Solanum lycopersicum: one gene and its partner. The protein of the gene in region 1 interacts with the protein of each later gene in a pairwise test. Links are inferred from orthologs where the notes say so. Each region holds a gene or a part of one and is shown on either strand. Other genes may lie near its edges. The genes, in order: LUG2 and transcription factor bHLH128.

Region 1 (6,798 bases):
CTTTTTGAATGGTGGTCTGTGTTTTGGGACATTTTCATTGCAAGGACAAATGAAAAACATTCCGAGGCAGCAGCAGCGTACATAGAGGTTTGTTGAACTTAAGCAATGACCCATGACACAAATTACTTAAAAGAAGCGTTACACATTTCATACCAATTAGCATTTCCTTCTATTTTTAGACTCAACAAATGAAAGCAAGGGAGCATCAGCATCAACAGCAGTTACAAATGCAGCAATTGCAACTGATGCAACAACGAAATGCACAGTTACAGCGAAGGGATCCAAATCATTCCCCTCATGGTGGTCCTATAAATGCTATCAACTCCGAAGGTATGATGGGGCAGCCATCTGCCAGTGTATTGGCAATGAAAATGTACGAGGAACGAATGAAGCATCCTCAGTCCATGGACTCGGAAACATCTTCAGCACTTATTGATCCCAATAGGATGGCACTTCTAAAGTCAGCAACTAATCATCAAGGGTATGGTTGGTGCAACTGTTCCTTATGTTATTGCATTATTTTACACAACACGTAACTATTTGTTGCATGCTTTGAATCATTTGTATCTCTATTTCTTCTCTGTTGATTCAGCCAGTTGGTACAAGGAAATTCAGGGAACATGTTGCAGCAAATACAAGGAAGGCCTCAGATGCCAACTGTAACTACATGAGCTCTTAGTTCTAGATACTAGACAGGATATCTCTTCTTTGTTCAATACTCGGTATTTTGTCTTCTTTTACCAAGCTAATGACGATACGTATTTCAACTATGTAGGATATTAAAGGGGAAGTGAACTTGGGTGGCACTCACAAGTCTTTGCCCATGGATCCTTCATCAATTTATGGGCAAGCGATTCTTCAGTCAAAGGCTGGTCTTGGTGCAGGTATTACTACAGAAGACTTATTTTCAGCATAAAAAATAGAGATACATTTTTCGATTGACATTCTTTGTCCACCTATTACTAATAATTTCAAATGGAAAATATATCCATTATCATAAAATGCACTTTTAGTAGTGATTTCACCTAATTATCTTTGTTTATCTTTGATATGACGTATGTTTTTTTCTGAAAACCTGCTCATCTTCCCGTAAGACACTTAATCATGTGGATTTTTATGGAACTCCGTTCATTGAGTGATATCATGGATAATTTCATTTTTTGCTGTTTGAACTTTGAAGTTAAACGACAAATTATTAAGCATTGCTAGACTATTTATAAAGCTTCTTAAGGTTTCTACTTTCCCCAAAGACACTGTCACTGTACTTGGAATCCAATTCTTTTTATTTTATATATATGATGTTTCACTTTTGGTAATTGTCTGTATCACACCTAAAGTTTTATTCATCTGTCTTTAGCAGCAATATATTACGGTTTATGGGTGGAAAGTACTGGAACTGGTCTTTTTTATGTGAGCACAATGAATTGTCTCTCTGCCTATTTCTTTTTATTGGCTTGTTGTAGGATTTCTATTTTTCCAGCTCAGCTTTCATGAAACTCTCCTTTTCCTATTGTCTCATTTTCTCTTTCTGATTAGTCTGTTTAGTTTTTTCCTGTCTTTTCTGAGTACTTGTATGTCAATTATATTGTAGATGATCTTACTTGGGCAATTTAGTCATTATATTTACTCCTTGTTCTTCAGGGTTGAACCAAGGTGGCACTACTCTACCATTGAAGGGTTGGCCTTTAACAGTAAGTTACCTACTACTTTTGGTCATTACTGCTTTTAGTATACTGAATTTTTGACGTGCATAGTCGATTGCTTTGCTCATGATATGTTCAGGGAATTGATCAGGTAAGGCCAAGCTTGGGTTTGCAAGTACAAAAACCCAACATACAGACCCAAAATCAATTTCTTTTGGCATCACAACAACAACAGGTCTTAGCTCAAGCTCAAGCCCAAGGTAACCTTGGAAACTCACCTAATTATGGGTTTGGTGGATTACCTAGAGGGAACTTTAATGCCAAAGATGGTCAGCCCCCTAGAAATGATGGATCCATTTGCTCTCCAGTACAGTCGAATTCCCCAAAGGTTAACTCGAATCTCCTAGAGTCCAGAATAGATTTTGCTTTTGCGCGTCAACTATACTATCTTTTTATCTGTTACACTGCACAACTATTCTGAGGCTTAGCCATTTTGTCTGTAAATGATAATGTCTGTTTCTGTCGAAGGGTTTGTGTTAACTCAGGGGCGGAGCTACCGTATTGATGGGGGGTTTGACCGAACCCACTGGCTTTTCCGTAGACCCTATATTTGTTTTTAAAAAAAGAAATAAAATGTATATATTATATTTATTTCCTGCGAGCCCACAATCACAATGAAACGATTGGTCCAACAGTATTTGTGCACCCAATAAATTCGTTTGGCCCCCACTCGAACGGGTTACTCTGATACAACATCTTACTCAGACATTCAAAAAAGTTTAAACCCAATTTCTTTTCTTTTTTTTCATCAAAAGTTAGGGTCTAACTTTTATTGTTAATCTAATTGTTACCGTCTGAAATCCAGTCTCCGGTATGTAATCTTGTCTCTCTTTTCATTTTTTTCCATACTTGTTTGCTTTTAGATGGTATGATTATCTATTCAAAATTTGATTTTTTATCTTTGATTCTAGGGTCATCCCACATTGATAATTTATTATATTTAATAATTGTTGTTTGCTTTTCAAAATTTTAACTTTTGTTGATGGGCAGTAATGGTTCAAGATTATAGTTAAACTAGTAAAATATCTATTTTAAGTGCCAAAATATTCGTGTTGAATTTAATAATTGTAAGCTCACTTAGAACTATATTGAAGATTATAGTAAAAATATTCAAAATTTGATGGTTGTTACTTTAGGTTTAGATCAATTTAGAACCCACTGGTCTGAAATCCTGGCTCCACCTCTTTGTGTTATTTCTTACAATCCGTATAACGGCTAAAGTTTAAAGTGCTTATACTATATACCTGTCTTAAACAGATGAAAATGTCCCAAATGCAGCACTCTTCGTCTCAACAACAGGACCAGTTGCAGCAGCAGCAGCAACAACTGCAACAGGTTAGCTTAAGGAAAGCGTAAAAAAAGCTGTTTTTTTATCTGAATTTTGATATCATCGAACTCATGTGATATCAACTTTTGTTAACAAGTGATATCTGTTCCTGCCTTGCCTTCTTTTGCTGCAGTTGGAAATTTCCATTCTTTTTCCTTTTTAATGTTTTGGTTTCCTGAAAAATAAATTATCTAATCAGTCCAATGAGTAGTTCATCCAGCTTCTTACTTTTTTCCCAGACCAACAGAAAAAGGAAGCAACATTCGTCTTCGGGACATGCTAATAGTACTGGCACTGGTAACACAGTTGGCCCTTCACCAAGTTCACCACAATCAACTCATACCCCAGGTGATGGAATGACTAGCATGTCAAAAGGTTTGATAATGTATGGAGAGGGAACTGGCGGAATTGCATCCTCTACAAATCAGCTGGTAATTCTTTCAGTTATTCATGCAAATGTTTGTTTGGATTATTTTTTTTCTAAATGTCTACTTTCATATTTGTTAATGAAGTATTTAGTTTCCATATAAATTCACAGTTTAATATGCTAATTATGCCAAGACCTTGAAAGTGCTTTTTACCATCTTAAATCGTATAATGCTCAACGTGACTTCTATCGTACAGGATGACTTAGAGCCTTTTGGAGACATTGATAATGTGGAATCATTTCTGTCACAAGACGGAGGAGATGGAAACATCTATGGATCATTGAAGCAAACTCTTACTGAGCACAAGCCTGAAACCTCAAAAGGTAATAATCTCACAATTGGACTTGTAAAAGCTCTATTGTGTTTCTTTTTTTTTTGCAAAATTATAAACTTAAACGATTCATCTCAGGTTTCTCCTTTGGTGAAGTTGGTTGTATACGCACGAGAAATAAAGTGACTTGCTGTCATTTCTCATCAGATGGGAAGTTACTTGCTAGTGCTGGACATGACAAGAAGGTAGGCTGCTCCAGAATATCTAATGTCTTTAGCATAAATAATCGGATTACTGTTTTATTTCGTTCTATGATATGTGATTGTAGGTTCTATTCTCTATTTTACTTCATTATTCATCTAAGAAATTGTAAATTATGAAACATTTACTATGTATGCATCAGGCTGTTCTTTGGAACATGGATACTCTACAAACAGAGACCACGCCTGAGGAACATCAGTACTTGATTACAGATATCCGCTTCCGGCCTAATTCTTCTCAACTTGCAACTGCTTCATTTGACAAGTCTGTGAGATTATGGGACGCAAGCAATGTAATTATTTTTATATTCTCTACTGGAACTTCAGATCTTTTCATTTTTTTGCCTTTTTCTTGTTTAAGAACTCCGAGATGTAGTTGTAAGGCCTTAGCTACAGTTGCATTTTTCAATAAATCAAATGTTAAACAAATTCATACTAAATAATCCGTTGCCGAACTTCTATTTGCAGCCTAGCTATTGTTTGCATGCTTACACGGGGCATAGTTATCATGTTATGTCGTTGGATTTTCATCCTAAAAAGAACGACCTATTCTGTTTCTGCGATAGCAACAATGAAATTCGCTACTGGAGTATTAGTCCATTTTCTTGTACTCGGGTGTCCAAGGTTTGCTTTTTAATGTAGAATACTGTTATGTATAAACCTACTTTGCAGTAGTAAATTCGTAATGAGCTAACTTCGACTTCATTTCTCTCTACTTGTAGCAAGGAGGAAGCGCACAAGTGAGGTTTCAACCAATGACTGGGCGTTTGTTGGCTGCCGCTTCAGATAAGATGGTTTCAGTCTTTGATGTCGAAAATGACAGGCAAATTCATTCTTTCCAGGTTTGTTTCCGTGCTAGCTGACTTTGAGTTTATTTGATATATTTTACCTTCATTCTCGACATTATATATCGGTGTTTGCTTATAGGGGCATCCTGGAGTGGTGAACTACCTGTGTTGGGATCTCAATGGTGAGTTACTGGCATCAGTCAGTGAGGAGTCTGTCAAAGTGTGGTCATTGGCCACCGGTGACTGCATTCATGAGCTAAGTTCTACTGGGAATCAGTTTCACTCGTGTGTTTTTCATCCTAGTTATCCTGCTCTATTGGTGATTGGAGGAATGAGGGTAATTGCGTTTGATAGACTACTTCATATTCATACACTTTTTACTGTTTAGTGACAATGCTCAACACTTCACTGCTATTTTGTGAATTTATGTTGCAGTCTCTGGAGCTGTGGGACATGGTTGAGAACAAAAGCATGACGGTTCCAGCACATGAGAACATTATCGCTGCACTAGCACAGTCACCGGCGACTGGAATGGTTGGCTCTGCAAGTCATGACAGTTCGGTCAAGTTATGGAAATAGAGGACAATTTCAAGATTTCACAAAAAAGTATATAGATATCTATAGCTCTTATTGTTTTTTATGAAGAATATCCATGTTTGTGGTTGTTATAGTTAACATTAGAGCGTGGTTTGCCGTTGAGAAAGGCGTTGCACAGTAACAGATTTGCAAATTTTCATGGTAAAATGTACCGTGTTTCTCCTAGTATTGGATAAAACGGATAATGAACATTTTTAATACCTCAAATTGTCACTGCTATAAGAGTATAAAAGTTTCCAGTTTGGTGCAAATGAACTGTGTTATGCATGTAGAGTTGTGTTCAACATCAATGTTATCGAAATATCCTGTAGGGAGTGCTATCCTCAATGGACCCTATTAGATGTGAATTCGGATTAGTCAAACTCGTGCACATAGGATGGAAAAATCAACTTCATTTCCTAAGGTTATCGACTGTCATACCAACATGCTCCAATGCTACATTGATCCTTCATTTGCTTTAGGTACTCGTGTGGAATGGGTCCAATAAGAGAGGCATTTTATGCAGATCTTTCAAATATTGAGGAAGTGGATGGGGCTATGCGTAAGATGAACAAGGCAAAAGCAATCGAGCCCAGACGAAATCTCGATCGAATTGTAGAAGAACATGAGCCGGGCAGGGTTGGATGACTCAATAGATTGTTTAATGTCATTATTAGGACAACAAAGATATCCTAAGAATGGAGGTGGAGTATGATAATCCAGTTGTACATCAATAAGGATTGATGTTTACTATTGCAATAATTATAGAGGCATCAAGCTGTTAAACCACACTATGAAAGCTTGGGAGAGAGTAGTGAAAGTGAGGGTCAGGAGGAGTGTGTCGATTTCAGAGAACCAATTCGGTTTCATGTCAAATGATTGACTACGTAAGTCATTCACATTGTAAGGAGGTTGGTAGAGCAATATAGGAATAAGAAGAGGGACTTGTGTATAATCGAAGTTTCTATTTCCCAAGATAGAAGTTTCAAGTACTTTGGATTCAGTAATTCAAGGTAACGAGGAGATTGAAAAATATGTCACACATCATATTGGACGGGGTGATATAGTATTGATTGATGAGACACAATGGAGGCATACTTAACACAAAATTGAAAGTTTAGAGACACACTAAAGTAAAAAATTTCAAGTTGAGGACCAAAAGTTGAACATATCTAGACTGCAAGTTCAATGGTGTGTCTCTTGTAACAGACATGGACGTAGTGTTGACACATAACTCTTCCCAAGATAGAAGTTTCAAGTACTTGGATTAAATAATTCAAGGGAATGAGGAGATTGAAAATAATGTCACTCATCATATTGGGCGGGGTAGATGATTTGGACATTCGCTTATGATATTATTGAAGGAAGTTGAGGACTGATGGAACATGTCGAATGAACGGGTCCATCGAAGCTGGCTGACAAGTTAGAGTTAGATTCATACTAGG
Region 2 (8,540 bases), about 14 Mb from region 1:
AAAATATCTTAGAACTAGTAAAGCACTCAAAAACATTGGGCTGGTTTTAGGTGGCGGCTAAGATAATAATAATAATAATAATGGATAGAGCAAGTGGGAATAAACGGGTCAAGTAAATACCCATGCACGTGATAACTGACCAGTCATGGAATTTTAGGAGCTGTTTGGTGAATGCATCTTGACCTCAAAATAAGTAAAAAATGGATTCAAAGAATCGTAGGCACAATCACCATCAATTAAATAAAGGGACAAAACTCCTTCCCTTTCCTTTATTCATTATTTTATTGGCTAGTTGCTACTTTTACTAGAATTTTATATTTTATATAATGTCAACTTGCTATATTTGAAAGTTTGGACCCCACAAAAGAAATGCTCACTTCCTCCAATAAGGAGCTTCTTACTAAGATTATGATTAAGGAAACAACAAAATAATACTCTAATATCTATATTGCTCATTGGGCCCAAGTGACAACTTGTTCTATAAAATCAATTAATAATTCCAAAACTTATATCTCTACTCGTATAATTTACAGAGACCACAAAATACTTTTTGGCCCCTGAAAGTTTTTCAATTCTTTCTATTACATTACTACATAATTATACAATATTCTGTTTCAAATATTTTTTGACAATCTTACTTCAAATAATTTTTTCTTAGCCTAAAGTTTCATCACCTAGTAAAGAAGTACATATTGTCCTCCCTATATTCTATTTGTGATATTATACATATATGTTATCGTAATTATTCATGGAATAAATTTTTTAATAAAAATGATACCATATAAAATGAAATAAAATGAATAATAAGTCCCAAGTTGTGCTCGTTTAATTAATTAATTTATTTATTGTTTTATTTGGGTTGAAGAAAAGAAAACTACAACATAACTAATGGAATAGACTCAGTGCTCAAAGAAGCACACTCCAACCTCTCATATATCAATTACCATAAGTAGAAAAAATGAATAAAGGAACCGCAACACAACTTTATTGACCCATTCAAGTTTGTGTGACATAATGATCATGACTTAGTTCATACACACATTAACTTAAGAAACTAATACAACGATTAAAGGTCTAATAGTAGACCTAAACCTAACGTAGAGTAGATTATAATTATTTTAAAAAATTAATAGAGAATAAATTGCCTTTTTTCGAGGTCAAAGCATCCACATTGTATGTCCTATTCCAAATCAATATATCTTATTGGCAAAAAATCATAGATTAAACCACCCTTTTAGTTGAAAGGAGAATTTATTTCTATACCGATCGGACATTTCAAAAATATAGAAAATTGCATGTCAGGTCTTTTAAAATAGTGCATTTTAAATGAATCGTAATAACAAATTAAAAAAGTCTAACCAACTTAGATGATCAAAATGAGTTGTAGAGTTTCTGATAGTTGACAATAAAAGCATAGCCTTTCAGTCTCCCCACCTCATATCAAATTAATTTACAAAAGTAGTATCATTCTTTCTCCCTTCCCTGCTTCTAAGGATCTAGGCACCATTAATTATATTAATACAAAGGTCAAATATTTTTTTATTAAAATCGAAAAACAACAAGGATCAGTGATGCATGATTCACAGTTCAATGGATAATGAATTCATCTTTCTGATCTTCTCCATTTTGAATATCACACGTTATACTTTTACCATTAAGATCAAATCCCTTACCTCTTAGACTAAAAAGAAATAAAATTTGACTTTTATATAATTAACTACATATACGTAATTAATTAGATACATGCAAGTTGGTTTAAATATAATAGTTATAAAAAACTAAAAGTAACAAATTTGTTTAATATATTAACTTATAACTTCTTTAAATTTTCTCACCATTACGGTATATTATTGTTTATAAGCTCAGCAGTGTCAAATTGCACAAGTTGCATCTAACTCCGTTCAACCCCCACCCCAAATCCTATCTCCAGAAACATTTTTTTTTTAAAAAAAATATTAATTAGTGCTAATGAGATTCTATCTTAAAGAAGGATCCACCATCTAATGAGTAATTAATTAATACCAGTGGTTTCATTGGCCAAATGTTGTGGGCGATTGGAAACTTAGCAGACACACATGCATTCACCTTCACCAAATGTGGAACCCACCTTTACATGTCACTAAGAGTTGAGACAGGATTTAGACCTACCAATTAGCTCCACTAATCACCTAATTTGCCCTATTGATGGATAAGTTATTTTTAAAAGAGAGCAAATAATAATTTGCGGCTGCTTACGTTATATACCTTCTAATTTAGGAAACTAATTCCATTTATTTTAAGCTAACCCAAGATTGTTCCCCTCTACTTTTTATATTAATTAACAATAAGCGGAATTAAGATTTAGAGTATATAACTTTTGAATTCTAAATCATTAAGTTGGTTGTAAAACAAGAATTTATTTATGTTAAATGAATTTCTCGAAATAAATATATAATTTTAGCTAAATGTATCAAATTTTTTTTATATGCTTCAAAATAATGACACATTTTTAATCTGAAGTTTTTAATGTATACACATCTTATAAAAGTTACATATATGTTTTGGGATGTTACAGACCAAAACTTGTAGACGTATGTACTTTTTTTTCTAAAGTTTGTACAAAATCAAATTATGACACATAAATTGAAACGAAAGGATTAACAAATCATTTCTTGTATTTCTAAAATGGATACTAATATTTATAAATAATTTCAACTTGTCAAACGATTGATAATTGGGACTAGAGGGAGTATAAACCTTGAATTACACGATGTATTCAATTACAAACATGAACTACAGAAGTCTATCTAACATACTTGTCAAGATTGGAAAGTATAAATTTGGAAATGGTAGAAGGTAGATAGATAAAAGATGAAACTGTTTTTAGTGATTTGATTTCTACAAAATAGACATAAAATATATGTACATTCTGTACTTTCGAGACTTCTGTTATAAGATTATATTAAGTATGTTATTGTTATTATCTTAGACAGATAAAAAGAGCAGACACAAAAATACACTCACCATAGGAAAAGTAGAATTAGCTAAACTTTTGTTGATATGATATATTTTCTGTGTTCCATTTTATGTGAGATGATTCAATAATTGATGGACATATATCTTTTTAAAAAGAAATTACATATTTAAAATTGCTTAAAATGTAATATAAATTTAATAATTCATAGTTCAAAATTTTTATAGAATTCCTTTTAGCTCACCATTTTAGTAACTGCATGAAGTGGGACAAATGAAGTAGTACTTCTTTTTTAAGATTAGAAGTTAAAAGTACTAATCATATGGAGGGAAAGAAAAAATGAGTTTGCAAGTTGTAAGGAGGTATTAAAGATTCTTCGAGTACTAAGTATATCCTTAAACATGTACATAACTCTTTTAATCTTTTGGTAAATTTTTTTTAGCAACTTGTTATATGTAATTAGATAAGACAAACTCAATTACTCTTAGCATATTTCCCCACTTACTCTATATGTGTCCTTTTTTGAGTAATTATTTATGTTTAAGTGCTCAACTAGTCAGTTTATAACGTCTAATTGTGACATAAGTAAATCTTACTTTTGTACTGTAATCTCATGACAATTCATTTAGAAGTTAATGAAGTCCAATGAGATGATTAATATAAGTTAATCCTCCATTAATTGGTTCTATCTGCAAGAAACCTACTTTCTCATTTCATCGGTAGCTAATTACACTTTCTTTAAAAGGTAACTCAACGCATTAATTAAGCTTCTGCTGTGTCTGGGGTTTGGAAAAAAAACAGATCACAAGAGCTTATTGTTCGTAATTCAATTTAACATTTTTGTAAGAAATTATTTTTACGATTTAAATAGCTATAAAATTATTCTAACATGTTTAACTATAAAAATATTATTTCTTTCTTAAATTTTGTGTCGAAATTAACTTTGTCATGTGGACAAAATGTAACCAGGGAATACTTTAAAATGTAAAATGCATTTCAAAGTTTGTTAATTTATGCAAAGTTAGTTGTGATTAGTCAATTAGCAAAGTCTACTCTGATTGGTTAAAAAAGTTACCAAATGCTGATGACTTTAGCAGGAAAAAAAAAAAAGCAAACAGAAAGGAATCATATACAGGAAGGTTAAATTCGTCATTTGACATATCAATTAGGAAAAAAAGGGAAGTTGAAAACTTACCAGTATCACCTGCAGCAGTAGCAAGTTGATTAAGGAACCTCGCCGGTGAGCTACTATGTCGAACCAACGGCGTCGTTGAAGTCGTCGGCAAAACTCCTCCTCCAGCGCCGCTTCCGCCGCCGATTGTTAAGTCATTGAAACCAATTGACCTCTGTAAATTCGATTGTTCCTTCGCTTTACTTGTAGATTCGGAATTTAACGAAGTAGATGCTAGATTGGACTGAAAAAACCGTGAAGGACCAAGGTGTGAGTGATGAGATCCGTGAGAAGCGAACTCGTGATTACCGTTAACGACGGCTTCAACTGCTGTAGTTAAAAATGATCCCGGAGCTGAACCGTAGCGAGTGAGACCACCGCCGGCGCCGCCAGCGGTGGTGCTGGTGTGGCTCATTGAACCTTGTGATGAAGAAGATGTTGATGATGGATACATTTGATAATTTGTTCGAATTGGATTGTTAAGATTTGGAGGTTGAGAAGTTAATAGAGAGAGAGGTGGGTGGGTGGGGTGAGGGAAGAGAGCAAGTTGGGAATTAAAAAAATGAAAAAGTGCTACACTTGTTTTATGAAAAGTCTTGTGAGAAAGAGAGTGGATCAGCCAATGGGGTTCTGCTGTTTTTGTGATTTTGTCTTTACATTTTTTCTTTAATAGAAAATTAATATACAATGTGTACTACATCCTATCCTACTAAAGTATAAATTAATTTCTTTCAATTTACGTGACACATTATCGTTATTATTTATATTGTGAGTTATGTCATTATTTATATTGTGAGTTATTAATTTTATCTAAAGTGTAAGTTTAATAACGTAATTCATGAAAAATGACGCATGAATTATTTTAAAGAGAGAAAATTTTAAATATTTTGAATTCATAATTCAAGAGAACAAGGATATAAATTACGATGTGGTATGTTTGTGTGATAAGAATATGTAGTAGAGTTTTAAAGGCAAGTGAAATAATAGTGATTAGATCGATATTGTTTTATTGAAAAGAGGGGCTAGCTAGTCAAGAATATACCCACGTTTAGAAGAGCAGTCGTGTGGGCATACTATGAGGAATATGATCAGTTATAAAGTTAAGCAGATGTGTGGGCATACTATGAGGCATATGAAAATAAAGTTATACGGGGAAAATATGTGGGTGGCTTTTGCAACAATAAACAAAATGAGAAAAATGATGAGGTTGATATGATTCGAACATGTGAAGATGGAGTGTGCAAATATGTCGGGTAGGTGGTATGAGAAGTTGATTATGTATAGAAGGAGTTAGTGGATGTAAAAGTAGGTTGAAAATGAAATAAAGGGAGTGATCATAGCTAGTATCAAGATACGAAAATTTGGAGATCGAGGATTAAAGTAGAAAGTGGGTAGATATCCAGGTATTACTGTACTATATATAGGGGTATACAAGTCAAATCAAACGACGAACCAAATCAATTCGAAAAAAACGATTTGTGGTTTGGTTTGGCGTGAAAAAAAAATCGACCACTCTTGATTTGGTTTGCTATTCGAAGAAAAAAAGTCAAATCGAACCCAAACCAAACCGACATAATATAAATATACAATTTTGTTTTATTTATAAATAAAAAATATTATTTATAATCTACTTTGCTAATATATTTTTAGTTAGTTTATAGTTTTCAATGTTTATATATACTTATTTAAATTTGAGCTTGTAAAACTTTGTAAATATTTTATTTTGTAGTAAGATCAGAAGTTAAAATAATATTGTTATAGATTTTCAAATTCGAAGTTAACAATTTACTTTGTAAATATTTCGTTTTGTATTCACTTTGATTGTCGCCTTTGATCTTTATTAATTTTACATATCAAACCTTGATATTTCAAAAACAAAAATATTTTGTACTCGTGTAAATTTTACATCTTTTCGATGACATCTTTTAAGTTTAGCTTATCACACAGATAACTGAGAATATATTGGATCACTTTTTCAAACACCGTATAATTGTAAAAAATCAAAAAATCAAAAGAACCGACTAAAGTCAAAACTGAAAAAACTTGACTTTATGTGGTTTGATTTGATTTTTAGATTTAATAGAATTGGTTTAGATTATTATTAATGAAAAACCAAACCGGCCCATGTACACCCCTAACTATATGTACGGGAGAGGTGGGGTCAGTCTTCTCGTTCCCAATTCTCGTTTTCAGTAATAGTATTAATAATCATGTAGTTTCTTATTCTTTTATGTGTTTATACTATCGATTTTTTATTATTCAGTTGTCATATTTTCTTGTCATTCTGCTTTAATCATAATAATCATTCTATAATAACGAAGGTCTGTTCATACAATCTATTCTCCACAGACACATACTTTGCCTAATTAACCGGCCCCTTCCTCTTCTACATTGGTTTCGTTTGGCGGGTCCTCACCGGGTCGATCCGAAAAGGTGCAGGCCTGACCCGGCCTCAATCCATATTGTTCAACTTGCTGCTCAATGTGGTGTGCCAAAGCAATGCATGTGAAGCAACACTATATGTAGTACACTGTACTAGCAATTGCACGTATATATACTCAAGTCACGAGAAGTTTGTTTGTATTCCTCAAGGATCATTATAGAAAATAGTATTATAGTAATTATTTTTCATTAGTGATTTAAATACTTATAAAACATATAAAAAGATAGTGATTAAGAAAATTGTTTAGCATTTAAAGTTTGAAAAATATCTCATAAATTAATACAAAGAGAGTACTGTACTGCAAGTAGGTTAATAAGTCTGCATGCATATTGCTACTTTACAAAGAGGCAAGTCTATATATTAAATTAAAAGGAGTAAATAAAGCTAATTTAGTCAAATAATCCTTTCATTAATATTTATATACAAATAAAATGGAGTAGAGAAAGTATAACCTTTGTAATTTAAGAAATATTCCATTTAATATAAGTAATATAAAGTCCCTAAACTATTTTTCATAATTAAAAGAATCATCAATATTTGTAAATTTTAGGATTCTGCCAATAATAATTATATATGACAATTTGTTATTTCCTTGATAAATAATTAGAAGATTAATTATCTTTTTTCTTTTTCATATTGAATAATTCTTTCTTTTTCATGTTCATATGCACTTTTCCTAGAACATAGTATGTCTTTTTTTTTTAAATTTAATTTAACATATTATGTCCTGTGTATTATATTATATTTGTATGGATCATGTCAAGTATTTTTATTATTATTATACGTATTGACATTTCCTAGTGTGAAAATTATTTTTTTCTGATAAATTATTTATTGGTCTATCTCAAAAAGTCTTATGCCTACCTTATTTGAACACTAACATTTTTTTTTATACATAAACTTGAACACTATAGTTTATAGTTTAGAAAAAAGTATACTCGAGAAAGTGATCATATGCTAACTTTATTTGAAGTTTTGAACCTTAAATACTCAATTACCAAACCTAAACAGGCCAAACATACCCTTATTCTCATAAATATACCCACAGAGATTAGAAAAGAAGAAAAAAAAAATTAATTGCTTATCTTAGAAACTTACTAATTCTACCTATATTATTGGTAAAAAAGAATATCTTTCATTTAAATCTTCTTGTTCATTTTTTAAAAAAAATAGCATATTCTATATTAAAATTGACAATTAATGACCTAGACCGCTATATGTAAGTATAAACCATTCTTTTATATGAACCTCAGTTCAATGACTAAACGATTTAAAATTTTAAAAATCAAATCAACCAAGTTGTACCCTTACATATATATTTTTTTTTTTGGAGTGTCTGTCTGTTATCACAATTTTCTAACTCTTACATCAATTGAATAACTTTATTGTACAAATATTGGTTCTAAATTACACAAATTTCAACCCTTTCCCCACTATTTTCTCTTAATAATAATTTATTTCAACTCTCACATCGATTCAACAACTAGATGCATGTATATGACCTAATTAAGTGTACTTAAAATTGCACAAGTTGCACCCTTTTCCCTTTGAGAATATGACGACTATAATTGGAAGGTTATAATATTTTTAATAAAAGAAGGTGTTAATTTTTTTATTTTTTTATTCCCACCTCGAATGAATAGATGGAGGATAGGCAAACTAGGGTTCAATTATATTAATTTACAAGTTGCTTATAACTTCCTCCCTTTTTCCTACATAATTACAAAAGAAATCAATCTTTTATATATAAAAAGTTCATATTTAAGATTATATATTAGGTTAAAACGATGGATACTATACCCACATAATTAATTAATGCGATTGCTTTTGATTAATATGTGATGTTAGAAGCGAGCAGAACTTTTAATTTATGGGTTTTGAATTAAAGAAATACGACTTCGTCAAGTTATAATAATAATATGAATATATATTTAATGAATTTCTTCACACAAATATATCTATTATACAAAATA

Evidence for each region.
Region 2: the proteins of LUG2 (region 1) and transcription factor bHLH128 interact in binary tests that used the Arabidopsis thaliana proteins (3 or more experiments, as listed by UniProt). The link is inferred for Solanum lycopersicum from reciprocal best matches to the Arabidopsis thaliana genes LUH and AT1G05805.

The regions. Positions count from the first base shown.
Region 1 is NC_090808.1:55,375,100-55,381,897, reverse strand, and holds the end of LUG2 (transcriptional corepressor LEUNIG_HOMOLOG), read left to right. Parts: coding exon 1-87; intron 88-179; coding exon 180-481; intron 482-592; coding exon 593-659; intron 660-775; coding exon 776-884; intron 885-1,641; coding exon 1,642-1,691; intron 1,692-1,782; coding exon 1,783-2,031; intron 2,032-2,960; coding exon 2,961-3,038; intron 3,039-3,269; coding exon 3,270-3,461; intron 3,462-3,654; coding exon 3,655-3,781; intron 3,782-3,867; coding exon 3,868-3,974; intron 3,975-4,132; coding exon 4,133-4,282; intron 4,283-4,457; coding exon 4,458-4,613; intron 4,614-4,711; coding exon 4,712-4,831; intron 4,832-4,916; coding exon 4,917-5,114; intron 5,115-5,212; coding exon 5,213-5,356; 3' UTR 5,357-5,625; downstream 5,626-6,798. UniProt on the Arabidopsis thaliana protein: Transcription repressor subunit of the SEU-SLK1 and SEU-SLK2 transcriptional corepressor of abiotic stress (e.g. salt and osmotic stress) response genes, by means of an epigenetic process involving histone modification (e.g.
Region 2 is NC_090808.1:69,416,744-69,425,283, forward strand, and holds the start of transcription factor bHLH128, read right to left. Parts: upstream 4,754-8,540; 5' UTR 4,579-4,753; coding exon 4,149-4,578; intron 1-4,148.